Saccharomyces cerevisiae S288C: one gene and its partners. The protein of the gene in region 4 binds, or shares a complex with, the protein of the main gene of each other region. Each region holds a gene or a part of one and is shown on either strand. Other genes may lie near its edges. A codon is read from its position in the direction of its gene.

Region 1 (4,359 bases), on a different chromosome or scaffold from region 4:
GAATAATAGAGAGCCAATGTAGAAGGTTAAGATACGGAAAACAACTTTTTTGATGGCTCTTGGAACGGATTTTCTGGGGTTTGCAGCTTCACCAGCAGTGATACCAACTAGTTCAGTACCTTGAAATGTGAAGGCAGCGTTAATCAAAGAGGAAACCCAACCTAAGAACCTCCCTTCGTTTTTATCCTTAGATATTATACCTGGACCCCAGGCACCTGGGTTTCTCCAATAACGGAATCCAACTGGGCCGGTAACCCCAGCACCACAAACCATACAAAAACAGTATATTAGAAACCCGATAATGGCTAAAACTTTGATGGAAGCGACCCAGAACTCGAATTCACCGTAATATTTGACAGGGAACAAGTTCATTATTGTGATAATTACCCAAAAAATACTAATCCATGCCGCCAGTGGAACTTTGTACGTCCAAAATTGAATGACTTGGCCAACTACACTAAGTTCCAGGGCAAAAGTGATTGCCCAAGAAAACCAATACATGTAACCATTGGCCGCACCAAATGCTGGAGAAAGGAATCTTTGTGAGAAAACTGTGAAAGAGGATGTAACAGGGATGAATGTAGCCATTTCACCCAAGGACTGCGTGACAGAATATGCCAAAGAACCCATAAATAAATATGATATAAGAGCGCCCACTGGGCCGGCGTTGGTCAGAGGTGTGGATAAACCAATGAAAAGACCTGTACCAATAGTACCACCAAGGGCAATCATACCAATATGTCTTTGCTTAAGCTCTCTCTTCACTTCAGCGTTCTGTACTTCTCCTTCATCTTCATCACCTATGCCATCCTCCATAGAGAACGTATCCTCGCCATTTACTCTCGTCGGGAAAGAGCGCAATGGATACAATTCTTTACTTTTCTCATCTTTCAATGGTATTGACCCACGTCTGTGGTGTGTTTGTGAAGCTTCAACGTCGTGAAAGAGGGTTGTGACCGGCTCATTGTACATATGCTTCTCCTCTATGTCGGCGTCTTCTTTTGAATTTGTCATTGCTATGCCTTTTTTTTTTTTTGTTTTTACAGGAGTTAAGAAGTCTGAAGAACTCTGAAATAAACTTTCGATTGACGACAGATTAAAAACTGGATCCAACTATAAGTATAATAGTAACTTATATATTTCTGTTCCAGATATATACGTAAAAAAAAGAAAAGGATAATTGATGTTTTTGCAAAAAGGGATTCCCTGATTCGGTTTACTCTGTTCGCAACCACTCTTCTTTCTGCTAATTTGTGCTTTATCTCGTATCATTCTCTTATCTACTTATCTTAACCTTATCGTCTTCCTCGAAATTTTCATTGATAGAGACAACTGCAAAAAAAGAAATTCAAAAAAGCCGTATGACTCACCCGGAAACCACACAGAAACCCTAGATTTCTATAGGGCAAATTTCAGGGTTATACTAAAAGATATATTATTGACCTTGGTTATTCTTCAAGTTCGCCCTATTGAAAATTCGGACACTTTAGGGTTTGGAATCTGTTAAAGATATAAGTAAATATGATGATAAAGAAATAGGTTTAATTTATACGCACTTGCCAGTAAGTGATTGATATTGCAGAAGTAACATGAATACGGTTCTGTGGCCTTTGCTGTTTGCCGTTATTTTATTTCTTTTTTTTGTTTTTTTTCTTTTTTTCAGCACTATCAAGGCTAATAAGGGACAAGAGTTCTTACTCAGTGTGAACGTGTTCTAAATAAGTTCTTGTTCTAATTAATTGTAACTATTTTTATGCATTTCTTGTAAGAGGAACTGGAGTAATCGTATCTCGGAAATACATAGAGGTGCGTATTCATAATGGGCCCTCTATCACTTGTTGCCTGTATCTCCGAATAGGACTGATAAGTGATAAAAAAAAAGAAAACTGGGTTAGCTTGAAGCGACTTTCTTTCTCTACTAAAGGGAATGGTCAGATCATCAGGCCAACGGCAAATGCTAAGCTATTTCCAAGGGTTTGTGCCCATACACACAATATTTTACTCCGTGTTCCATCCTACAGAAGGTTCTAAGATTAAATACGAGTTTCCGCCAAATAATTTGAAAAATCATGGTATTAATTTCAACACATTTAAAAACTACATCATACCGAAGCCTATATTATGCCACAAGTTGATCACTTTTAAGTATGGTACATATAGGATTGTATGTTATCCTGTGACAATCAATTCTCCAATATATGCTAGGAATTTTTTTAGTTTTAATTTTGTATTTGTATTCCCATATGATTGTGAGACGTCTCCCTACGAACCAGCTATTACTAGGCTGGGCAAAATGTTCAAAGTTCTTGAAGAACAAAATCAATTGCTATCCAAATCGGAAAGAGATCCAGTTTTCTTCGATTTGAAGGTGTTGGAAAACTCCACAACAACACCCTCCACTGCAGGTCCTTCATCCACGCCAAATCCTAGTAGTAACACCACACCAACTCATCCTACATCCGAAAAGGATACAAAGGATATGAGAAGCAGCAGATACAGTGACCTTATCAAGGATTTGGGCCTTCCGCAATCCGCATTTTCCATACAAGATTTATTGATGAGAATTTTCCAAGACCTGAATAACTATTCCGAATGCCTCATACCAATTGATGAGGGAAATGCAGTAGACATAAAGATTTTTCCGCTGTTGAGACCACCGACAACTTGTGTCTCATTAGAAGATGTGCCCCTGTCGTCTGTAAATTTGAAGAAGATTATTGATGTCAACTGGGATCCAACCATGATGAGTATAGTCCCTTACATTGATGGCTTAAACAGCATTGCCAAAATTTCTAAACTAAGCAACAGTGATCCTGGCCTAGTGATAGAGTGCATACGTCACTTAATATACTATAAGTGTGTTACATTATCAGATATTTTCCAATTTTCTAACATATACGCTCCTTCTTCATTAATTAGGAATTTTTTGACTGATCCACTAATGGCTAGTGACTGTCAATCTTATGTTACGTTCCCAGAAGTGTCTAAAATATCGAACTTGCCCTTAAACAAAAGTCTGGGTTCAGGTGACCAAGACTCACCATCATTTTCTGTACGAAGAAAATCCAAATCATCTAGCATACCGTCAAACCCGGATTCTAGAACTACATCTTTTAGTTCTACCAGTAGAGTTTCTCAAAACTCCTCCTTAAATTCCTCTTTTTCATCAATTTATAAAGACTGGAGGCAATCACAAACCTCCTGCTCGAGTTCAAATATTCATGTCATCAACAATCGTAACCGATTCCTACCAACAAGATCATGCCTATTTGACCTTTATAGGTCACTTTCACAAGGTCAAACGCTGAAAACATGGTATGAGTCGAAATATATGATTTTAAAAGAAAATAACATTGATATAAGAAGGTTCATAACGTTTGGCCTGGAAAAACGTATCATTTACAGGTGCTACTCTTTTCCTGTAATGATAAATGCAGGTTCACGTGAACCAAAAGAAATGACACCAATAATAACAAAAGATTTAGTGAATAATGATAAGTTACTTGAAAAAAGAAATCACAATCATTTGCTTTCAGCCACAGGGTCTAGAAATACGGCACAATCCGGCAACTTGAAACCAGAAAGACCATCAAAGGTTTCATTTGAAATGCAAAGGGTAAGTTCGTTGGCAACAGGCAAAAGTACTATGCCGAAACTCAGCGACGAAGAAGAAGGTATTCTTGAAGAGTCTATTAGGAATGCCGAAACATTTGATAAAATTTGCGTTTTACTGAGCAAGCCTAAATTAGAAGTCGAAAGCTACCTAAACGAATTAGGAGAATTTAAGGTAATTAATAGCTGAGTTAAAATTAGAGAAATTCATTGTCCATCAAAATGTTTTTTTTTTTTTTTAATATTACAACTTATTTCCGTAAATAAAGATAGTACACACGAATCCAAACGTTTATATAGTTAGCTCTGTGAAAATTTGATTTAGGTTCATCTCTTGGTGTGTTTGGTAGAGGTGGTTTCACACCCTTCTCTTCTGTCTTGCCTTCTAATGAATAACTGAGTATTCTTTACATACTTTGTTTTTATTAACCACTAGTTTGAATATATATTCGACTGAAAGGCAATATCAACTATTCAATCTTTAACATTTTTCTCGAGCCCTCATTGTCCACATTTTCACTGGATTTGTTTTCATCTTCAATTGCATGCTTTTTGGGCGATATTACACTTTGCACTGAATTGCTATTTATGTTTGATAACCTTAACGGCATTTTCTTACTTAGATTTGGTATTTCCTTCAATATGTTCTCGATCATTTCGTCTTTGGTAGCGTTTTCCTTGTTACCATAGTTTTTCATTATGTTTTCAATCGTATTATAGATATCATCCACATTAGTTATATGAGAG
Region 2 (3,046 bases), on a different chromosome or scaffold from region 4:
TGTTGCAAGACATTGCGGATGGAGGGTTTTGGCCTTAAGTTTGATTACCAATACTTGCGTGGTGGATAGCCCTGCCAGTGCGTTGGACGAATCACCTGTACCCTTAGAAAAAGGCAAAGCGACTCACGCTGAAGTACTGGAGAATGGTAAAATCGCCTCTAATGACGTGCAAAACTTAATTGCTGCCGTAATGGGGGAATTATAATTGTTATAACTTAAATACCTCTATTTATTACATAGCGGGAAGATGTACCTTCGGCCGGTAGAATAATTTCGCCTGTTCTATTGAAGAAAAACAGTCTTATATATCTATTGTATATACGTCGATTATTTTTGTTCGCTTGTTTTTGTATAAGAAATATCTATGACAATATTAATATAAGAAGTTGCAAAAAAAAAACAAAGAAAAAAGTTGAAAAGTTTTTGAAAACTTCCACAAATCTTTAATTGTTATACGTTACTGTACATTATGCGTTTATTTCCCTTCAAATTCGTCGATAGACTCATTTGCATTCTTTTTTCTTTTGAGATGTTTCATTTTAAATTCTTGATACTCTTCACTGATGAACTTCACCAGCGGGTTCCCATTTACCCTCAAGATTTTCCTTCCATAAAGTAACTTTATTATCGCCACCGGAAAGAGCTAGTACATTACCTGACAAAGACCAACTGGCTCTCCATAAAACATCTGGGAATTTTTCTTCTTTTAATAAAGTTTTTTTCCATGGGCCTTGTTCATTGTCTTGAGTCCAAATAATACAGGTGCGATCTTGAGAAACACTGGCCAAATAAGAACGTAGAAGAACAGTAGGTGACCATGCTACGTCTCTAACCCAATCGCTGTGACCTTCTAAGGTGCTTTCCAGAACATAAGTTTGGGCATCTGAATTGTACTTCCAAATCTTTACCAAATTGTCAGCACCCCCAGTAACAAACTTGCGAGATTCTTTAGTACCGTTGTGTTCACCATCTTCTTCGATGGTAGCTGGAGCCCAAGAAGCAGAGTTAACGCCAATGGCATGAGCATCGATGATTATTGGGGAAGTAGTACCGTTTTCTTTGAACTCTACTACGGAGACCTTACCATCAGAGGAAGCAACCAGCAGTAGGGGGCCATATTCATGAGGAGCCCATTGAACAGAGTTGACAGAAGCAGAGTGGACAGCATGAACGGCAATTTGAGACCATCTACCGTTTTCTTCCTTCCAAATCAACACTTTACCATCATAAGAACACGATGCCAAAATGGTTCCGAATTTAGGATGTGCCCAATCAACACGCCAAACTGGGCCTTCGTGGCCAGTCAACGTGTCTATTAACTTGTGTGTTTCTCCTTCGACTTCAAAGATCTTGATTGTCTTGTCAGAAGAGCAGGTTGCAAGGCGCTTCCCATAATAGTCTAGAACAGCGTCATGGATTAATTCGTTGTGCGCATTAGCTATGACGACCATTTGTATGCTGATATAAAATTATCTGTTATCTTTGCGCTTGTAAGTTATTATTATTCAGAGCTGGAAGCCAATTGTATCACCTTCGCCAATGCACTTTCACTGTTCGAAATTGTGTTGATCTCAATGGGGTTAAAGCTCTAGGGTGGTAATTCTCTGTCGGTTTCGCTTTTTTTCTTCTCGCTGTTCGCTTTATTGAAAACTTTCGGGTAATGCGTGGGTGATTTCTATGGATAGTCTATGTATATATCTATACAAACCACATCATATGGCGAATATCTGAACATTGAAGTCCCAGCCCGGGGGACCTTGTGCTTGTTGTTGTTGTTGTTGCTCTTGCTGCCGGTTACCATTTGCATTTAATTGTGCTCCATTGAAACGGACATTCCAGCCTCTACGGGCCGCCAGTGTACTCATTAATATACTTAATAGGAATATCCCCAAGATACATCCCATCGTAACAAGATCCTCCATTTGGAAGCCCAAAATCTCGGAAGCCTCCTCTTGGTCGTCACCCCTATGGTTAGCTCCATTCTGCACTACAGTTCTGTGTTTGTGAGAATCTTCCGCAGCTTTGTCACTATCCTCCTTATGTCTCATTCTTTGTAGAATCTTCGTCAATTGCTTGTACCATGAAGTCTTCGAGTGCTGAGTATCTTCGTTAGGGTTAAGTGGCGAGGAAGGTTTCCAGTAGTTTACTTTTTCTCTGGTGATCCAAGTCAACCATGACTTTAGGTGTAATTTTAAAACACTCAATTTGGAAGCCAAGTAAAATCTATGATCGTGTTCTGAAACTTGGTCGTAGTAACGTTTAGCAAGATGGAAATCTCTGTTTACACCTAGCCCATGCTCATGCATGTACCCTAAGTTCCAGATAGCCTGTATAGAGTACTTCAAAGCTGCACCCTGATAAAGAGCCATAGCTTTACTGTAATTCTGCATCTGAAAATAGATATCTCCCGCGACAACACCAGCATCTATATTTCCCTGTTTAAACGCTCTTGTATAGTAGGAAATTGCCAAAGTTTTTCTCTGATCTGTGGTTCTTGGAGGATCCTCAAACTCATATGGCAACTGGTACATTAAGTAGGCGGCAGAGACTTGAGCAGTCTCGTAGCCTTGCTCGGCTAGTTGGGAATAAGCCCATAAAGCCACTTCTGAACGATCGTTGATTAATGCGGCAAATGCTGTCCTCAGTTTAGGTGCCATAATAGCTTCGTTTTTGTCAACGAATGTTTTGAACAGGTAAGCAGTGTTTTCCACACTACTCTTACTGTTCATTCCAGATTCGATCATTACTGCAAACTCATATATGGCTGGAATGAATCCATTCAAGTAGGCAGTTTCCATTAAGTTAAATGGGTCGCCGATTTTTTCTTCAGGGAATGAAGTGGCCAATTTGGATAATTGGAATTCTACGATTCCATTGTTAGCTTGTGTTTTCATAGCTTTCATATAATACGAAATTGCTTGAGAAATATTGTTTGTGATGTATTGATTTATTAAGCCCAGATCTATGCACGCTCTACCTATAGGTCCCTGTGCCCTTCTGCTTATTTCTAGCGACGTGGTCAGGATCTCTTCGGCCATATGAATAT
Region 3 (6,973 bases), on a different chromosome or scaffold from region 4:
GTTGGTAGGATATCTGGTGTGGAAGTTGAATCTCCAACTTCCTTCCCTGTCCAGTCTTTGATTCCAAAACCATTGGAATCTGTCAAGTCTGCTGATGAATTCTTGGAAAAATTATCTGATTACGATAAAGATTTGACTCAATTGAAGAAGGAAGCTGCCACTGAAAATAAGGTATTGAGATTCATTGGTAAAGTCGATGTTGCCACCAAATCTGTGTCTGTAGGAATTGAAAAGTACGATTACTCACACCCATTCGCATCATTGAAGGGATCAGATAACGTTATTTCCATCAAGACTAAGCGTTACACCAATCCTGTTGTCATTCAAGGTGCCGGTGCCGGTGCTGCCGTTACTGCCGCTGGTGTTTTGGGTGATGTTATCAAGATTGCTCAAAGACTTTAGATCAGTAAACAGACATATAAAAACATAGGTATATTTATATATAAATAGATAACATTATGCTTTACTATCCACGTTCGAATATTATTTACTTTGTGAAGAAACTCATCCATGTCATGGGGCTACTCAATCTTCTACAATCTTTCCTGTAATCCACATTTCCTTTGCGTCAAGGAAAATTGACCTTAACTTCTGATAGTCCAAGCAAGTTGATTTGAAATTTAGGATCACTTTTTGAGCATCTAATGAAGAGCTTGAAGCAGAATGAATTTTCCCGATTATGTTTCCCGGATTCACTCTGGATATATAAATGTTGTTAGGAGCTAAAAATAGGCAGCCATTTTCCCTCAATTCCGCGACGTAAGCACCCGTATGATGAATATATTGAACATATTTGAACTGTGGTTTGCCCCATGAATACATGATGTCAAACTCTATATCTTGATTTTGTAAAAATTTGGATGCCCTATTGTCTAATAAAAACCCAGATGCCTTTAAAAGATAAACGTGGTAGTAGAATTTGCTTTTAGCGAAAAGCTCCCTATCCTTGAACTCAGGATCTTCCCAAGGATTGATAGCTAACTTAATTTCCACAAAAGAGTGAAATGGATTGACCGAAGGGATAGTACAAAGTTCTTCCCAAGGAATTTCAATCATTTTCAAACCGTACCTTTCGCATAACCTTGACCAGTTCCCAACCAAATCATCGATCAATTTTGGGGTGGTAGTCAACCATTCCAATCTTATGTGAAAACAGTGGTCGGGGTTATGAACTCTGTCATAATGGACTGTACACGATTCTTGTTTCGAGGATTTTCCCGCGGGATCAACATCGATAACAAGAGAGTTACTCAGCATTAAAATAGGGCGTGATGGCTCTTTGGCGTCAGCAACTGAAGCATTCGAAGCGCTTATAGCAGGTACTACTGAAGAAAAAGGAGTCATAGCGCTTGGATCGTTTGAGCTACCAGTGGATGCTTTTCTCAACATCTGCTTTGGATCGGATAATGTAGAGCGATGGGAGTTTGTTTTTTCTAGTTTATTAGTGTCCATTACGTATTCAGGTGAGAACTGGTAAAAGTAGTGCCCGTCCAAAAAATTGTGCTTATTTAAAACGTGAACAAATAATCCCTCTTTCATCACCTTCTGCCCATATTTAATTGCATCTTCTCGAGTATCTATATCAGAGAAGTTTCTTATGAGCCAATTAACCATCTCCGAGCCAACAAAACACTTTTCATGCTTTTTCCAGTGCCATTTTCTGTTGACTAAAGTAATGCGATCTTCGCCACGTTGAATTTGATACGCCAACTTGGATAGTTCTACATTTCTGTTTAAAAGGTTATTATCATTAACAAAAATTGAATCTTTAAAATTTATAGCCGAGCTTTCTAAAGATGTTTGTTGCTCATTAATGAAGTTGTAAAGCGGGCCGGTGTAAAACATAACTTCAGGCTGTATTTCTTCTCTCTTAGTTTTTCTTCCTTTTTTTTCTTTCTCTGTTCTTAGTCTTGACCTCGTTATTGAGCCAATTAATCTTCTCAAACCCTCGACTCTGATTTCTTCTGGGTTTAAAGTTTCGCTTTTACCATTGATAACCATAGAATATGTGTTGGGAGGGATATCTGTTGGTAACACCACATATTTAGCTCGAAATCCGTGCCATTTCCTATCTATTAAGTTATCGCCATAACCTGCTAGAACCTGATCAATTTGATTCCAGTTCAAAGATTCTCTTTTAACATGAAGTGGGTCAATCATAGCATCACGAAATGAGCTCTCGTATCTCGTTTTAACCAACGGAATATAACTAGGAACCTGATCAAACAAGTTTGCTTCATCTTTTCTCAAATACCTCTCCACATCAATAATTCCACTTGACGAGCATGTTATTCTGTGTATTTCAGAGTCGATCATTAGATAAAGTTTGAACGCATCATTTTGATTGAAATCTAAATACTTGTTGACTACAGTTTCACTTTCACCACTTTCCCTAGAAAGTTCTATTTTTTCTACTTGTCGGCCCACGCAGATTTGAAAACCAGTTAACAGTCGCATATAAATCATATCACGAAGTAAGTCTTTGTATGTCTGATTATATTGTTCTTGATCTGTGTTTAAAGTCACTGAGTGATTTCTGAAGATGAAGTTCCTATCAAAATCATCCTTGGATGGAAAATCAGAAATTGTGATTGGTAACTCTGCTGGGGTTGTAAAAGACCTCCATTTACTATATTTTCTGGCCACATATTTTGGCCATACATCTTTCCAACGTATAGGCAATAATTCGTTGGCAAATTCACTACTTACCGGAATGGAAGGACTTTTAATATCCACCCAAGTTTCACTTATACGATGTTTCAATTGCTGTGTGAGGCTATAAGTGTTCGAGTCATCATGTTTTGATTTTTGCCCTTCTGTAATGAAAGCAGCCTTGTCTGACATATTAGAAAGTTTAGAGGATGTTCTGGTATGTGATGAGCCTAAATATGAGGAGGGTGAACCACTCATGATTTCATTACTAGGTAGCCCAAAAATGGATAGGTTTTTCTTTATTATCAAATTTCCACGTTTACTGATAACGTTTTCATCTGCCAGGCCTTTTTGTTGTAATTTCAGGCCACTTATTTTACTTTCAGAAGATGGTAGTGGTGTATTTGAACCTAAAGGTGAGTTATCCACATCATCTCTGAGTAATGTTGACTTTATTTTTTTATTTTTACTTGTGTCTATGTTCGAAATAAATTTTGTAATTACTCTTTGAGTAAAATCTTTCAATGAGTTCCTTTTGCTTAGTCCTTTGAGCGAATCCAGCGCCAAAGATGTGTTTTGGTTATCAGCAGATCTCACAGAGACCAATGAGTCATTCATTTCGAGATTGTCATTGTTAGAAGTGGTGGGAGTGCTAATTTTATCATTTGTAGTATTACAATCATCATAAAAAGAGGCCTCTATTGTTTTTATTGATAGATCTGGTATTACGTTTGGTTTTTGAATATCCTTAATGGCTGGGAGAGCAACTTTTGGACCTCTCCATATGAATTTTGTGTTACCGTGTGTTGTTGTTGCTGTTGCCGGGATTTTCCTTGCCTTCACAACAACATCATTCTCGAAGACGGTATCAAACTTTGAATTTAATTTCTTAGATTGTTTCGTATTAGAGCCAGCGCATAAAATTTTCACCTCGAAGGCATTTTTGTCGTAATCATTCATAAACTCGGATAGTGATTTGACTTTCTTGTTCAGCTGTAAATATTCAACATCCACTTCCCGAATTAACTCATTTTCAGTAATCCCCATCATTTGTAAGTCATAAATTTTACATCTTGGAGTCCATTCTGAGTTACTCTTTTTGTCATGATCATTCCAAAAGAAAACACTTAACCAAAGCGGTACACAATGATGAAGCTTGTTCTCAAAGTCTCGGTACCTAAAAAGTGGAACTATGTGCAATGGAGCTTTTGAAAGACATATTAAATCCATCGTCATTTCAAGAGAGAGTAGTTTTTTTCCTGTTAGCCTTAATAAACTATAATCAACGTCAAATAATCCAGACCCTGGTGAAATAATCATGACGTGCGTTGTAGTGTGTCGAAGATCTAATTGCTTGAAAGGATCCGTTAAAATTGTCGTGGCAAAATTGACCAATTCGAGAAAATTCGACTTGATTACAGGTGAAAATCTTCCATTCGCTACACTGTAACCCTTATCCGTTTGCTTGTTTAATAAATCTTTTCTGATTTCCATAAATTCTTCTCTTAATGTTTCCATAATATCAACCCAATGGATAATACTGACTTGATCTACAACTATCCTAAAATAATCCTGTGAATTTTTCAAAGATTCGCCGGGTGTTAAGTCCTTGAATGATGTATCAGACAAGTCCATTGATATAGCGAAGGCTATAGTGATAGTATGGTGGGTGTCCACATCTTTCCATTTTTTGAAGATCTTCGGGAAAAATGAATTAACCATCTTTTGAAATAATTGTTCACCAGTTTCTTCGAAGTTCCACATTTCATCAGTTATTTGAATCAAAAAAATTAATCTGGCAGATTCGGACCGAAAAATTATCCTTGTTTGTTCGCCAATATATCCAGAAACAATCTTCTTACCATTTCGATAAATTCCCTTAATAGTACCTCTGATAGAGTCTAAGAATGCCAGTCTTTGATCCATAAACACACATGTATCTACCAGCTTAGATGATAGAACCCACATATCACCTCTATTTAGTAGGCAATCTTTGATATTAAACTCTACCACATCTGCCTGTAAGTCAAATTTGTTTGGTTTCAATTTTATCCATATCCTAGACCTAGAAGGCAAATCTAACAAAGTTTGCAGTTGACCCGAAAGTATTGAAACATTAGATGTTTTTGCCCTTCTTTTAGTCTCTCCGTCAAAATCTTTTGCAATAAAATAAATTTTCTTATCTCCGTTCGATGCAGATGGATTTTTGTGATATGTTTTCAATTCTACCAAATCACCAGGTTTTATATCCGGGAACTCAACTAGATTTAGCATCACTAAATTCTCGGAAAATCGGGACTCATGATAGCCTAATTCAGCTTGATACGCCTTTATTTTCAGTCCTGGAATATGATGGCGATGGACCCGTTCCCCATTGTCATAATTGTTGTCACCACCATTGTTGACGTTATCGTCATTTTCCTTATTTGAAATCAGCTTTCTGCCGGAAGCCCTTTGTTGAGAACCAAACTGCTCTTTCTTTTGTCTTAAATTTCTATTGGAACCTACTATCAAATTACCCGATGATAAGGATATGCTATTTGCGTGAGTAGTATTGCTAGTCCTTGGAGTTTGTGAATTGATGGAAGAAATTGGTCTTTGTTTCTTCCCATGCAATTTAGCGAACATCCTTAAAAAGTGTCCCTTGTCAGTGCTGAGTTATTTCCCTGCTTAAAAAGTAGTTACAGAAACAATTCGTTGTTCTGTCACTTACTATCTTTTAAACAATAATGATTAACATAGATAGTGATTCAAATAGTCACGTGATCTCTTTTAGAGAAAGGACTTAATCCGTACACAATGATTTAATTTTTCATTACCTTATAATGTGATAGTCATAATAGCAATGAAGGATTAGTAATTACCAATATAAGAGCTCTAGCACATTAGCTATGAATTTGTCAGCCGCACCAAACTAACATAAAGGTCTTACTATGTTAAAAGTTCTTGTCCTTGAATAGAAATAAATGAATGAATCTAGTACCCTTCCCCATTCACCTAAGTTGGCTAGCCATATTTTCGGAAAAAGAGTGGGAGGAACAAGATGCTAGATAAACAAATATTCATGTTATTAAGCTTAGAATTTTGGCTCTGTTTTGTTTATTTCCAGATTTCTATTTTCTGCTATTCATCCAAAATATATTTTCTCACAAAAGCTGTTAATTTGAAACTAATGTTAAACAAAACATCTCACTTCAAATTGAAGCCAAATTAGAACCTAAGTAACCAACACACGCACAACTTTCATCCCTTATCCCACTTCTTTGAAAACTTTTAGAAGCCATTGATGGTATTGTACATTTACCTATCTTAGCAGATTCCTTATTAGCCGCCGAAATGGGTAATAAGTATTATAATCACTAAATACGAAAAATTTATTCATACCAACCCGCAACATGAACTACAAACCTTTGGGTATATAATGACAAAGACGTATCAAACCAACACATAAGGCTATTTTCAGGCAACTAATATGCTGTTTTATCTGCGGAATTTCACCAACTGACTTTTACTAAGCACTCAATAAAGATGCAGGTAAAATACGTGGATTTATGAATCCGGGTAATATAATTTGTCCACGTGATATTTCACAGAATGAATTTCATCACGTGCGTATTATCTCTTAACTCATAATGCCACAATTACCACCACACAGAGGCAGGAATGGTTTAACTGCTAAGAGACACTGGAAAATTTGAGTCATGGAGATGCGACGAATTACTGGCCGCTGCAAGCAGTTATATAAAGTGTTGGAAGACGATAGTTTTTAATGTGAAATAAAATTGGGATATAGAAAGGTTCCTTTGCTTGTTATTTTTTTTCCATCGTCTTGATATTTATTCAGATCCCTTATATACTAATAAAGTAACAGTAGGGAACGGGAACCAGAGAAAAACAAAAGATTGGCGAATGACTGCTTCTGACCTCTTGACGCTCCCACAATTGTTGGCGCAATATTCCTCTAGTGCTCCCCAAAATAAAGTGTTCTACACTACTAGCACAAAAAATAGTCATTCATCCTTCAAAGGGCTAGAATCTGTTGCCACAGATGCTACTCATCTATTGAACAATCAAGATCCATTGAATACCATCAAAGATCAACTCTCTAAGGACATTTTAACTACCGTTTTTACAGATGAAACTACTTTGGTCAAATCCATCCACCATCTATATTCTCTTCCTAATAAACTTCCATTGGTGATTACAGTGGATTTGAATTTGCAAGATTATTCCGCAATTCCTGCGTTAAAGGATCTTTCTTTCCCCATCTTAATATCTTCTGATTTGCAAACTGCAATTTCAAACGCGGACTCTTCTTATA
Region 4 (5,764 bases):
ATGGTATCGCGCCGGGCTATGTTGATTATGATCTAGTCACCCCTGGTAACACCGAGGAAGAAAGGTACGCAAACGCAAGATTGGCTATTTCTATTGCTAGAAAGTTGGGTGCTTTGATTTGGTTGGTGCCAGAAGATATCAACGAAGTTCGTGCAAGATTAATTATTACTTTTATCGCTTCGTTAATGACTTTGAACAAATGAGCCAACAAACAACTTTCGTAACCTGTTTTCTACTCAGCTTTCTTGTTCCAATGCTCCGTTATACGATTGGTTAAGTGTACAACAATATATAGCCTCAAGTATTTCTGAAGTTTTTAATATGTAATAATAGATTTCAACTTCCACCTACTTTTATTCGTGATTACTGAGCCATTGTAAAAATGCCTCCAACGCTCAATGATTCCGTTGTCGTCTTCTATCATGCCTCTACTGGATTAAAAAATCGTAAATAAACTACTTATTAAGCCATATATCCTGTGAACTTTTTTTCATATACATCCAAGGTTCTTTGAAATATGCAGAAAATGTACGTGATAGTTAAGCTTTTAGGCATCGAACATTTCCGGACAATTGCACCCACATCCAGATGGGCACTCATCACCAATCTCCCACCATATCCTCGCGCACGAAGAGTGTAAAACATGTTGACAATTTCCACATATGAAGCTACTTCTTGTCACTCTTAAATCACAGTAATTACAATTTCGGGCTAGGAATTTTTCTTCTCCAAACTCGTTGTTCTCGATCCAGTGCGTAAGTACACCATTGTAAGGACTTTTCTTGTTATTGTTAGGGGGGATGCCTTGGGAACTATAAGAACTTCTGAAATCAGTACTAACTTTTAGAATTTTGACCCTTTCTAAAGGCAGTCCCCATCTAAAAAGTAACTTTGAATATTGATAAATATAAGTTTGGAACTTTGGTATGTCTGATACCTCTAAATGTAAGAGGTCTTCTTGTTCATAAGCTTCTATAATATCGTCATGTAAAAGCTCGACTTTGATGTCAGGCATTCTACTATGAAAAGGGCTGGATGAAATGGCACGGCTGCCCTGCTTTTGGGCCGGCTCCGTAAATTTACTACTACCATTAAGAGTGTTGTGCGTCCTTAACCTAGCGTGGTGGTCGTCGGACCTTATTGAGGAGTTGTCTCCTCCATGAATGTTTTTTCCTCTCAAATGATTACCATAAAAATTTGGTGTAACAGTGCTACTCCTAGACCTGGTGGAAAAAGCATCAGATCCTTTCCAAAATGATGTGTTTTGACTTTCGTTGTCATTAAACACAATGGTTCCTTCCATATTCTCTAATTCTTGCCCATAATATCTGGCTGGAATCTTTTTTCTCCTGGCGCTTAATATGACACAGCATAACATGGCCAGCATCTGTAAATTTTGTTGCCTCTCAAAGTAGACAATCGCTTCCTTTATGAACCACTTTATCCCCATGGGATGGTTATTCCATATAGTAGTATAAGGATCGTAATCACTTTGGTCTATCAACATATCAGATAATATTTGCCAACAATGACTAATTTCATCAAGGTCAAACTTTTCTGCCACCAAAGCGTTATTTCTAGCAAATCCTTCCGGTGTGGCATCCATAAATAAGTATTCTAATGCTAGTTCTTTGCGGTCGCTTAATAAACTGCTGAAATTTTTGGAAATCACTAAATTCTTATTTTTTTTGGTAGATTCTACTGTTTTCCCGGATTCCGAATGTACTGAGCTGAAAGCTTTAAAATTACCTCTTAGTATTGGAATTTTTGTTCTCACTATTATATCATTTCTCAATATATCGTCCCAATCGTCCGCGACACTATCAAATGAATCGTCGGAAGATGTCTCGTCGTCAAAGTATGTTCTTGAATCCCCATTAGTACCGCCTCCCAGCCCCAAGGTGTCCACGTACCGCTTAGGGCGAGCTTTCAATTCATCAGCAGCGGTGATTACACTGCTGTCAACTTCCTTATCATATAAAACTTGAGGCTCAATTTTAAAAGGATGCTTCTCTACCCCTGCTTCTTTTTGAGAGAGTTTAATTATTGCATTTTGCTTTTTCTCGGGTTTTTTCTCATTTGCAAAGAAGCAGAAGAGTTCACCTGTTGCAGTCCAACAAGATCCACACCCATTTGGAACAGGTGTCGTATCAAGAGCTAAATTTCTTCCAAAATCCAAACCTTGATTCGAAGTATCTGGGAATACCAGTGCTTCCTTGTATGACTCTATATCTGATTGCGAAGAAAGGTTTTCCGGGTTTTGAGAATCGGAATATGAACTATCCAGTGACGATAATTCTTCAAAATCTATGTGATCTGCAATATCAAAATTTAATAAGGGTTCTTGCCCTTCTTCGATGTCCTCCAGGCTAACCTTCTCACCTAAAACAAATCGTATACATGGCTCCAGGCAGTAAAGATTTGAGTCAGTATACTTTTGACCAATTGTTGCTAAATTGGAAAGTATTTCTTGTCTCTTACTCATGGTTAAATTTGAATTCTCTTCAATTGTGAATTTGGGGGGGTCCCCTTTGTTTGGATAGTTGAGAGGGAAATTAATACTTATTCGTAAGAATATATAATCATCAGGATTTTCCTCTGACCAGGGGCCATTAAGCGTCAGGCACAATTCCCTTGTGGACACGGATATCTTTTCAAAAACGACTTTTGGGAACTTGTGACCAATGGCGCTTACTTCCTCTCCTAAATTTTGGATTTTTGTCTCATTGAATAAATCCTCTTGTGAAGTTGCGCTATTCATTCTAATTCCTGAGAGCCATGTTATGTGGTTTGTCTTGTTTTTCTTCAATCCAGAAGTTGTCACAAAGTTTTCTCGTAAACGCCTAAACTCATTCTTTTGAACATTTTCCCTATTTTCAGGTTCCTTATTGTATGAGCAATAATCATAATCTGGTAGTTTCTCCTCAAGTCTCTTGCCTCTGTCAAAGTTAACTTTCCCATAAATACTATCAGAAATTGGCCATAGTTTTAAATCGCAGTCTTTGGACCAAGTAACCAATTGAAATTCACGATCGTCGTAATCCCCATCGCACGTATGTCTTGATCTCCAAAGAAAGTCAATTACTCGGTCACTATGCCCTTTAAATGCATATATTGGCTGGAGTTTCGTCTTCTTATTTTGTTCACTGTCATCATCGTCGCATAGATTAATCAGATAAACTGCGTTATTGCCTCCAACCATTGGCATAATACAATAACCTTCTCCAAAAGGAAGGTAACGTCCTCTCCAGATTGGAAAATTTGTTGTTACAGTTCTCTTTGATTCTGTCGTACTTTTTGAATAATCCCAAAACTTCACCGTCCCATCGTTCGAACTCGACATAATTTCAGAATATTTGAACCGGTTAAAATCTATGCTATTTACGGAGCTTACATGGCCTTTCAAAGAACAGAGGGGAGTGGAGCCTTTTCTCAAATCCCACACAAATATATCATTTCCATGTGAAGATGCCAAGACGTTAGGATCCTTGTAATTCCACTTCACTTGAGAAGCAGCAGATCTCCATGAACTTGTCGAATAAAATGGTCTATGTGGACTTCTCATATCCCAAGCATGTACATACGTATCGACTGAACAGGTAGCTAAAACATCCGGATGTTGCGGATTGAAGTTTATATCTGTAATTGCTCTTGAGTGCCCATGAAGTACAAACTCAATGGCATTTGATGAAGATTTTGCTAAGTTCCATATGATTGCCTTTTGATTCGATGTCGAGACTATCCAATATGGTTTTGCGGGATGTGGCGACCATTGTACATCAGCAACTTGCCAGGGCGTAATATGATGCAACCACCTTGGAGGTGTAAACGGATCATCCAGGTCGATAATATAAAGACCTTGCCGACTGGCCAAAACAATATCCCTACCAGAGGGATTGATAGATACGGCATTGAACCCACCATCTACTTTCAACGATAATGATTTTCCAAAAGTGGGCGAATTATACGGACCTTCATTTATACTACTGCACATAATTAATTCTTCAGTGAATAAACGGGCCAGAGGCGATTTCCCTCAAATATCTTACAATGTTTTTGAAAGTGGGGTGCTCAGCTGATTTGCATCTTTTGATGACCTACTCTGAGATGTTCTTCGACTACATCCCACAGAATGTAAGGGTAACTTGTAATTATCTAACTGTTGCAACTTAGTAAAAATATACAGAAATTCAACGTATGTAAGCAGTCACACTGACTATTTGGCAACTCATACTTAGTAAAGATATCATAGAAGCATTGTAAAATATAAAAAAGGATAGATATATTATTGTCTACTCTTTCGTAACGGCATCAAAAATGGCCTTGAAAGGGCCCTTGAATCCTGTCCACTTTTCAAACTGAGCTACACCTTGGTGTACTAACATTTGTGATCCAGGGACAACGTGCCATTGATATTTGTCTTGTGAAATTGTCATAACGGGAGTAACGCTTGGTTTGTATGCGGCTTCCAATAAGGTTGGTACAAAAGCAGCATGGGCACCTTTCACAAGGAATCTCTCCAGCTTACTTAAAAGTTCGTCATCTAATGGTTTGTCGGCTGGTACACAGCTGACAGCAACGCCAACGTGTTCCTTAATCTCTTCTATAGATTTAGTGGACTCTATTCCAATAATGTTGAATTCAGATGGAAGTGACTCTATTAATGGCTTCAATTTCGAAGTTGTCCTGTTGATTATGAAGATCTTTTTGCAACCTAAACTGTGCAAGGCGTAAAGGGCGGCTCTAGAAGTGCCACCTGCACCGATAACCAAACCAGCGGTATGACCAACATATTCGGGAACGCCATTGTTAATTAAGGCATTACGGATACCTAACCAGTCGGTATTATCACCCTTAAACTTCTTGTTACCCAATGGTATAACTGTGTTTACAGCACCAATAACTTTAGCAGCATCAGTCAATTCATCCATGTACTGCATTATATCTAATTTCAGAGGAATTGTGACTGCAGCACCGCCAAAGTTCTTGTTTCCGTCCAAAAGTTTTTCTTTCACCAATTGTGCGGATTCAGTTTCAAATTTATCGAACTTGTGAGGTAAACCTAAAATTTCATAGCCAGTGTTATGTAAAATTGGCGATCTAGAGTGGCCAATTGGCTTTCCAACAACAAACAGTTCCTTAGGCTCGATACCTCCCATAGATGTATACATCTTGTTAATTTGTGCTACTGTCAATTGGCCAGGGGCAGCGGAGTTAGGCAATAAATCTGATGTCACAGGTGTTAAAACATTATTCAAAACACGAGAAATGCTACCTTTAGAAGTCATATTAACTGCAATTAAAGGCTTATTCTTGTGTGTATCCCTAAAGTGTTCCAGTCTCAAATTATCTTCGAAATTAACAGCCGTACCCACAAATTTTACAACATCCACATCAAGAGTTAACGCTTGATTGAATCTGTTTTCCCATTCAGCGTCGTCCCAGGAGTATAATCCTTGGAAGTCATGATGGGAACCAATGATCTTGGTGTTGCCCCTTTTGTTAATAACCTCATATTGGATATCAGTAGGTAAAGTTAGTTCTAAGTCAAGGAATTCAACACCATTCTTCAAGGCAATATCGTATAGCTCTCTCAAGGTTTTGAACTCTTCATCAGGAAAGTTGCCACCTTGCTTCATGGTTCGCACAGTAAAAATGATAGGAATACTGTCAGTGGCTTTACGCAATATAGATAACTGTTTACTCACGAAATCAGCAGAGTAATTAGCCAAATGGTCTACTCTGACCTCTACAGCCTCACAAC

The links.
Region 1: the proteins of MTC5 (region 4) and NPR2 are in contact, whole or in part, in a cryo-EM structure (PDB 8AE6), measured with the Saccharomyces cerevisiae proteins. Residues at the interface, in NP_010413.3 of Saccharomyces cerevisiae: Asn28 (codon at 3,913), Arg44 (codon at 3,865), Pro67 (codon at 3,796), Trp68 (codon at 3,793), Gln69 (codon at 3,790), Val70 (codon at 3,787), Ala71 (codon at 3,784), Asn90 (codon at 3,727), Arg115 (codon at 3,652), Ala116 (codon at 3,649), Ile117 (codon at 3,646), Thr118 (codon at 3,643), Val135 (codon at 3,592), Thr137 (codon at 3,586), Arg158 (codon at 3,523), Ser159 (codon at 3,520), Ala160 (codon at 3,517), Ser162 (codon at 3,511), Gly179 (codon at 3,460), Asn180 (codon at 3,457), Ser202 (codon at 3,391), Ser203 (codon at 3,388), Asn222 (codon at 3,331), Trp249 (codon at 3,250), Arg250 (codon at 3,247), Met265 (codon at 3,202), Val266 (codon at 3,199), Arg303 (codon at 3,088), Phe383 (codon at 2,848), Arg384 (codon at 2,845); in NP_010852.4 of Saccharomyces cerevisiae: Gly7 (codon at 1,973), Phe8 (codon at 1,976), Phe31 (codon at 2,045), Pro32 (codon at 2,048), Pro33 (codon at 2,051), Asp199 (codon at 2,549), Met202 (codon at 2,558), Arg203 (codon at 2,561), Gln206 (codon at 2,570), Asn209 (codon at 2,579), Asn210 (codon at 2,582), Tyr211 (codon at 2,585), Ser212 (codon at 2,588), Glu213 (codon at 2,591), Cys214 (codon at 2,594), Leu215 (codon at 2,597), Pro217 (codon at 2,603), Asp219 (codon at 2,609), Glu220 (codon at 2,612), Asp225 (codon at 2,627), Ile226 (codon at 2,630), Lys227 (codon at 2,633), Ile228 (codon at 2,636), Phe229 (codon at 2,639), Pro230 (codon at 2,642), Phe324 (codon at 2,924), Leu325 (codon at 2,927), Thr326 (codon at 2,930), Ala331 (codon at 2,945), Ser332 (codon at 2,948).
Region 2: the proteins of MTC5 (region 4) and SEC13 are in contact, whole or in part, in a cryo-EM structure (PDB 8ADL), measured with the Saccharomyces cerevisiae proteins. Residues at the interface, in NP_010413.3 of Saccharomyces cerevisiae: Thr616 (codon at 2,149), Thr617 (codon at 2,146), Pro618 (codon at 2,143), Val619 (codon at 2,140), Pro620 (codon at 2,137), Asn621 (codon at 2,134), Gly622 (codon at 2,131), Cys623 (codon at 2,128), Gly624 (codon at 2,125), Ser625 (codon at 2,122), Cys626 (codon at 2,119), Trp627 (codon at 2,116), Thr628 (codon at 2,113), Ala629 (codon at 2,110), Leu633 (codon at 2,098), Phe634 (codon at 2,095), Cys635 (codon at 2,092), Phe636 (codon at 2,089), Phe637 (codon at 2,086), Ala638 (codon at 2,083), Asn639 (codon at 2,080), Lys772 (codon at 1,681), Asn773 (codon at 1,678), Leu774 (codon at 1,675), Val775 (codon at 1,672), Ile776 (codon at 1,669), Ser777 (codon at 1,666), Lys778 (codon at 1,663), Phe780 (codon at 1,657), Leu783 (codon at 1,648); in NP_013309.1 of Saccharomyces cerevisiae: Val2 (codon at 1,448), Val3 (codon at 1,445), Ile4 (codon at 1,442), Ala5 (codon at 1,439), Asn6 (codon at 1,436), Ala7 (codon at 1,433), His8 (codon at 1,430), Asn9 (codon at 1,427), Glu10 (codon at 1,424), Leu11 (codon at 1,421), Ile12 (codon at 1,418), His13 (codon at 1,415), Asp14 (codon at 1,412), Ala15 (codon at 1,409), Val16 (codon at 1,406), Leu17 (codon at 1,403), Asp18 (codon at 1,400), Tyr19 (codon at 1,397), Tyr20 (codon at 1,394), Gly21 (codon at 1,391), Leu24 (codon at 1,382), Val38 (codon at 1,340), Trp57 (codon at 1,283), His63 (codon at 1,265), Tyr75 (codon at 1,229), Ser101 (codon at 1,151), Asn103 (codon at 1,145), His110 (codon at 1,124), Glu111 (codon at 1,121), Ser121 (codon at 1,091).
Region 3: the proteins of MTC5 (region 4) and IML1 are in contact, whole or in part, in a cryo-EM structure (PDB 8ADL), measured with the Saccharomyces cerevisiae proteins. Residues at the interface, in NP_010413.3 of Saccharomyces cerevisiae: His64 (codon at 3,805), Pro67 (codon at 3,796), Trp68 (codon at 3,793), Asn90 (codon at 3,727), Gln91 (codon at 3,724), Lys92 (codon at 3,721), Ile94 (codon at 3,715), Asn104 (codon at 3,685), Ala105 (codon at 3,682), Ile106 (codon at 3,679), Val109 (codon at 3,670), His111 (codon at 3,664), Ser114 (codon at 3,655), Arg115 (codon at 3,652), Asp136 (codon at 3,589), Tyr138 (codon at 3,583), Arg149 (codon at 3,550), Ser153 (codon at 3,538), Thr154 (codon at 3,535), Trp157 (codon at 3,526), Arg158 (codon at 3,523), Arg188 (codon at 3,433), Lys189 (codon at 3,430), Gly190 (codon at 3,427), Ser191 (codon at 3,424), Thr192 (codon at 3,421); in NP_012672.1 of Saccharomyces cerevisiae: Phe292 (codon at 4,407), Gln298 (codon at 4,389), Asp336 (codon at 4,275), Met379 (codon at 4,146), Glu380 (codon at 4,143), Arg382 (codon at 4,137), Lys383 (codon at 4,134), Leu386 (codon at 4,125), Asn387 (codon at 4,122), Tyr394 (codon at 4,101), Ser395 (codon at 4,098), Val396 (codon at 4,095), Ala397 (codon at 4,092), Gln526 (codon at 3,705), Met527 (codon at 3,702), Met528 (codon at 3,699), Gly529 (codon at 3,696), Ile530 (codon at 3,693), Thr531 (codon at 3,690), Asn533 (codon at 3,684), Glu534 (codon at 3,681).

What each region holds. Positions count from the first base shown.
Region 1 is NC_001137.3:32,453-36,811, forward strand, and holds NPR2 (nitrogen permease regulating protein NPR2), read left to right. Parts: upstream 1-1,954; coding exon 1,955-3,802; downstream 3,803-4,359. Other genes in the region: arginine permease CAN1, read right to left, coding at 1-1,014; kinesin motor protein CIN8, read right to left, coding at 4,083-4,359. UniProt on the Saccharomyces cerevisiae protein: Component of the SEA complex which coats the vacuolar membrane and is involved in intracellular trafficking, autophagy, response to nitrogen starvation, and amino acid biogenesis. Mediates inactivation of the TORC1 complex in response to amino acid starvation.
Region 2 is NC_001144.5:557,956-561,001, reverse strand, and holds SEC13 (GTPase-activating protein SEC13), read right to left. Parts: upstream 1,452-3,046; coding exon 558-1,451; downstream 1-557. Other genes in the region: PNP1 (purine-nucleoside phosphorylase), read left to right, coding at 1-205; ubiquitin ligase complex subunit HRD3, read right to left, coding at 1,713-3,046. UniProt on the Saccharomyces cerevisiae protein: Functions as a component of the nuclear pore complex (NPC) and the COPII coat. It is one of 5 proteins constituting the COPII coat, which is involved in anterograde (ER to Golgi) double-membrane transport vesicle formation.
Region 3 is NC_001142.9:682,874-689,846, reverse strand, and holds IML1 (GTPase-activating protein IML1), read right to left. Parts: upstream 5,281-6,973; coding exon 526-5,280; downstream 1-525. Other genes in the region: HOM6 (homoserine dehydrogenase), read left to right, coding at 1-402; MET5 (sulfite reductase (NADPH) subunit beta), read left to right, coding at 6,562-6,973. UniProt on the Saccharomyces cerevisiae protein: Component of the SEA complex which coats the vacuolar membrane and is involved in intracellular trafficking, autophagy, response to nitrogen starvation, and amino acid biogenesis.
Region 4 is NC_001136.10:707,779-713,542, reverse strand, and holds MTC5 (Mtc5p), read right to left. Parts: upstream 3,995-5,764; coding exon 548-3,994; downstream 1-547. Other genes in the region: SAC6 (fimbrin), read left to right, coding at 1-203; ARO1 (pentafunctional protein ARO1p), read right to left, coding at 4,293-5,764. UniProt on the Saccharomyces cerevisiae protein: Component of the SEA complex which coats the vacuolar membrane and is involved in intracellular trafficking, autophagy, response to nitrogen starvation, and amino acid biogenesis. May be involved in telomere capping.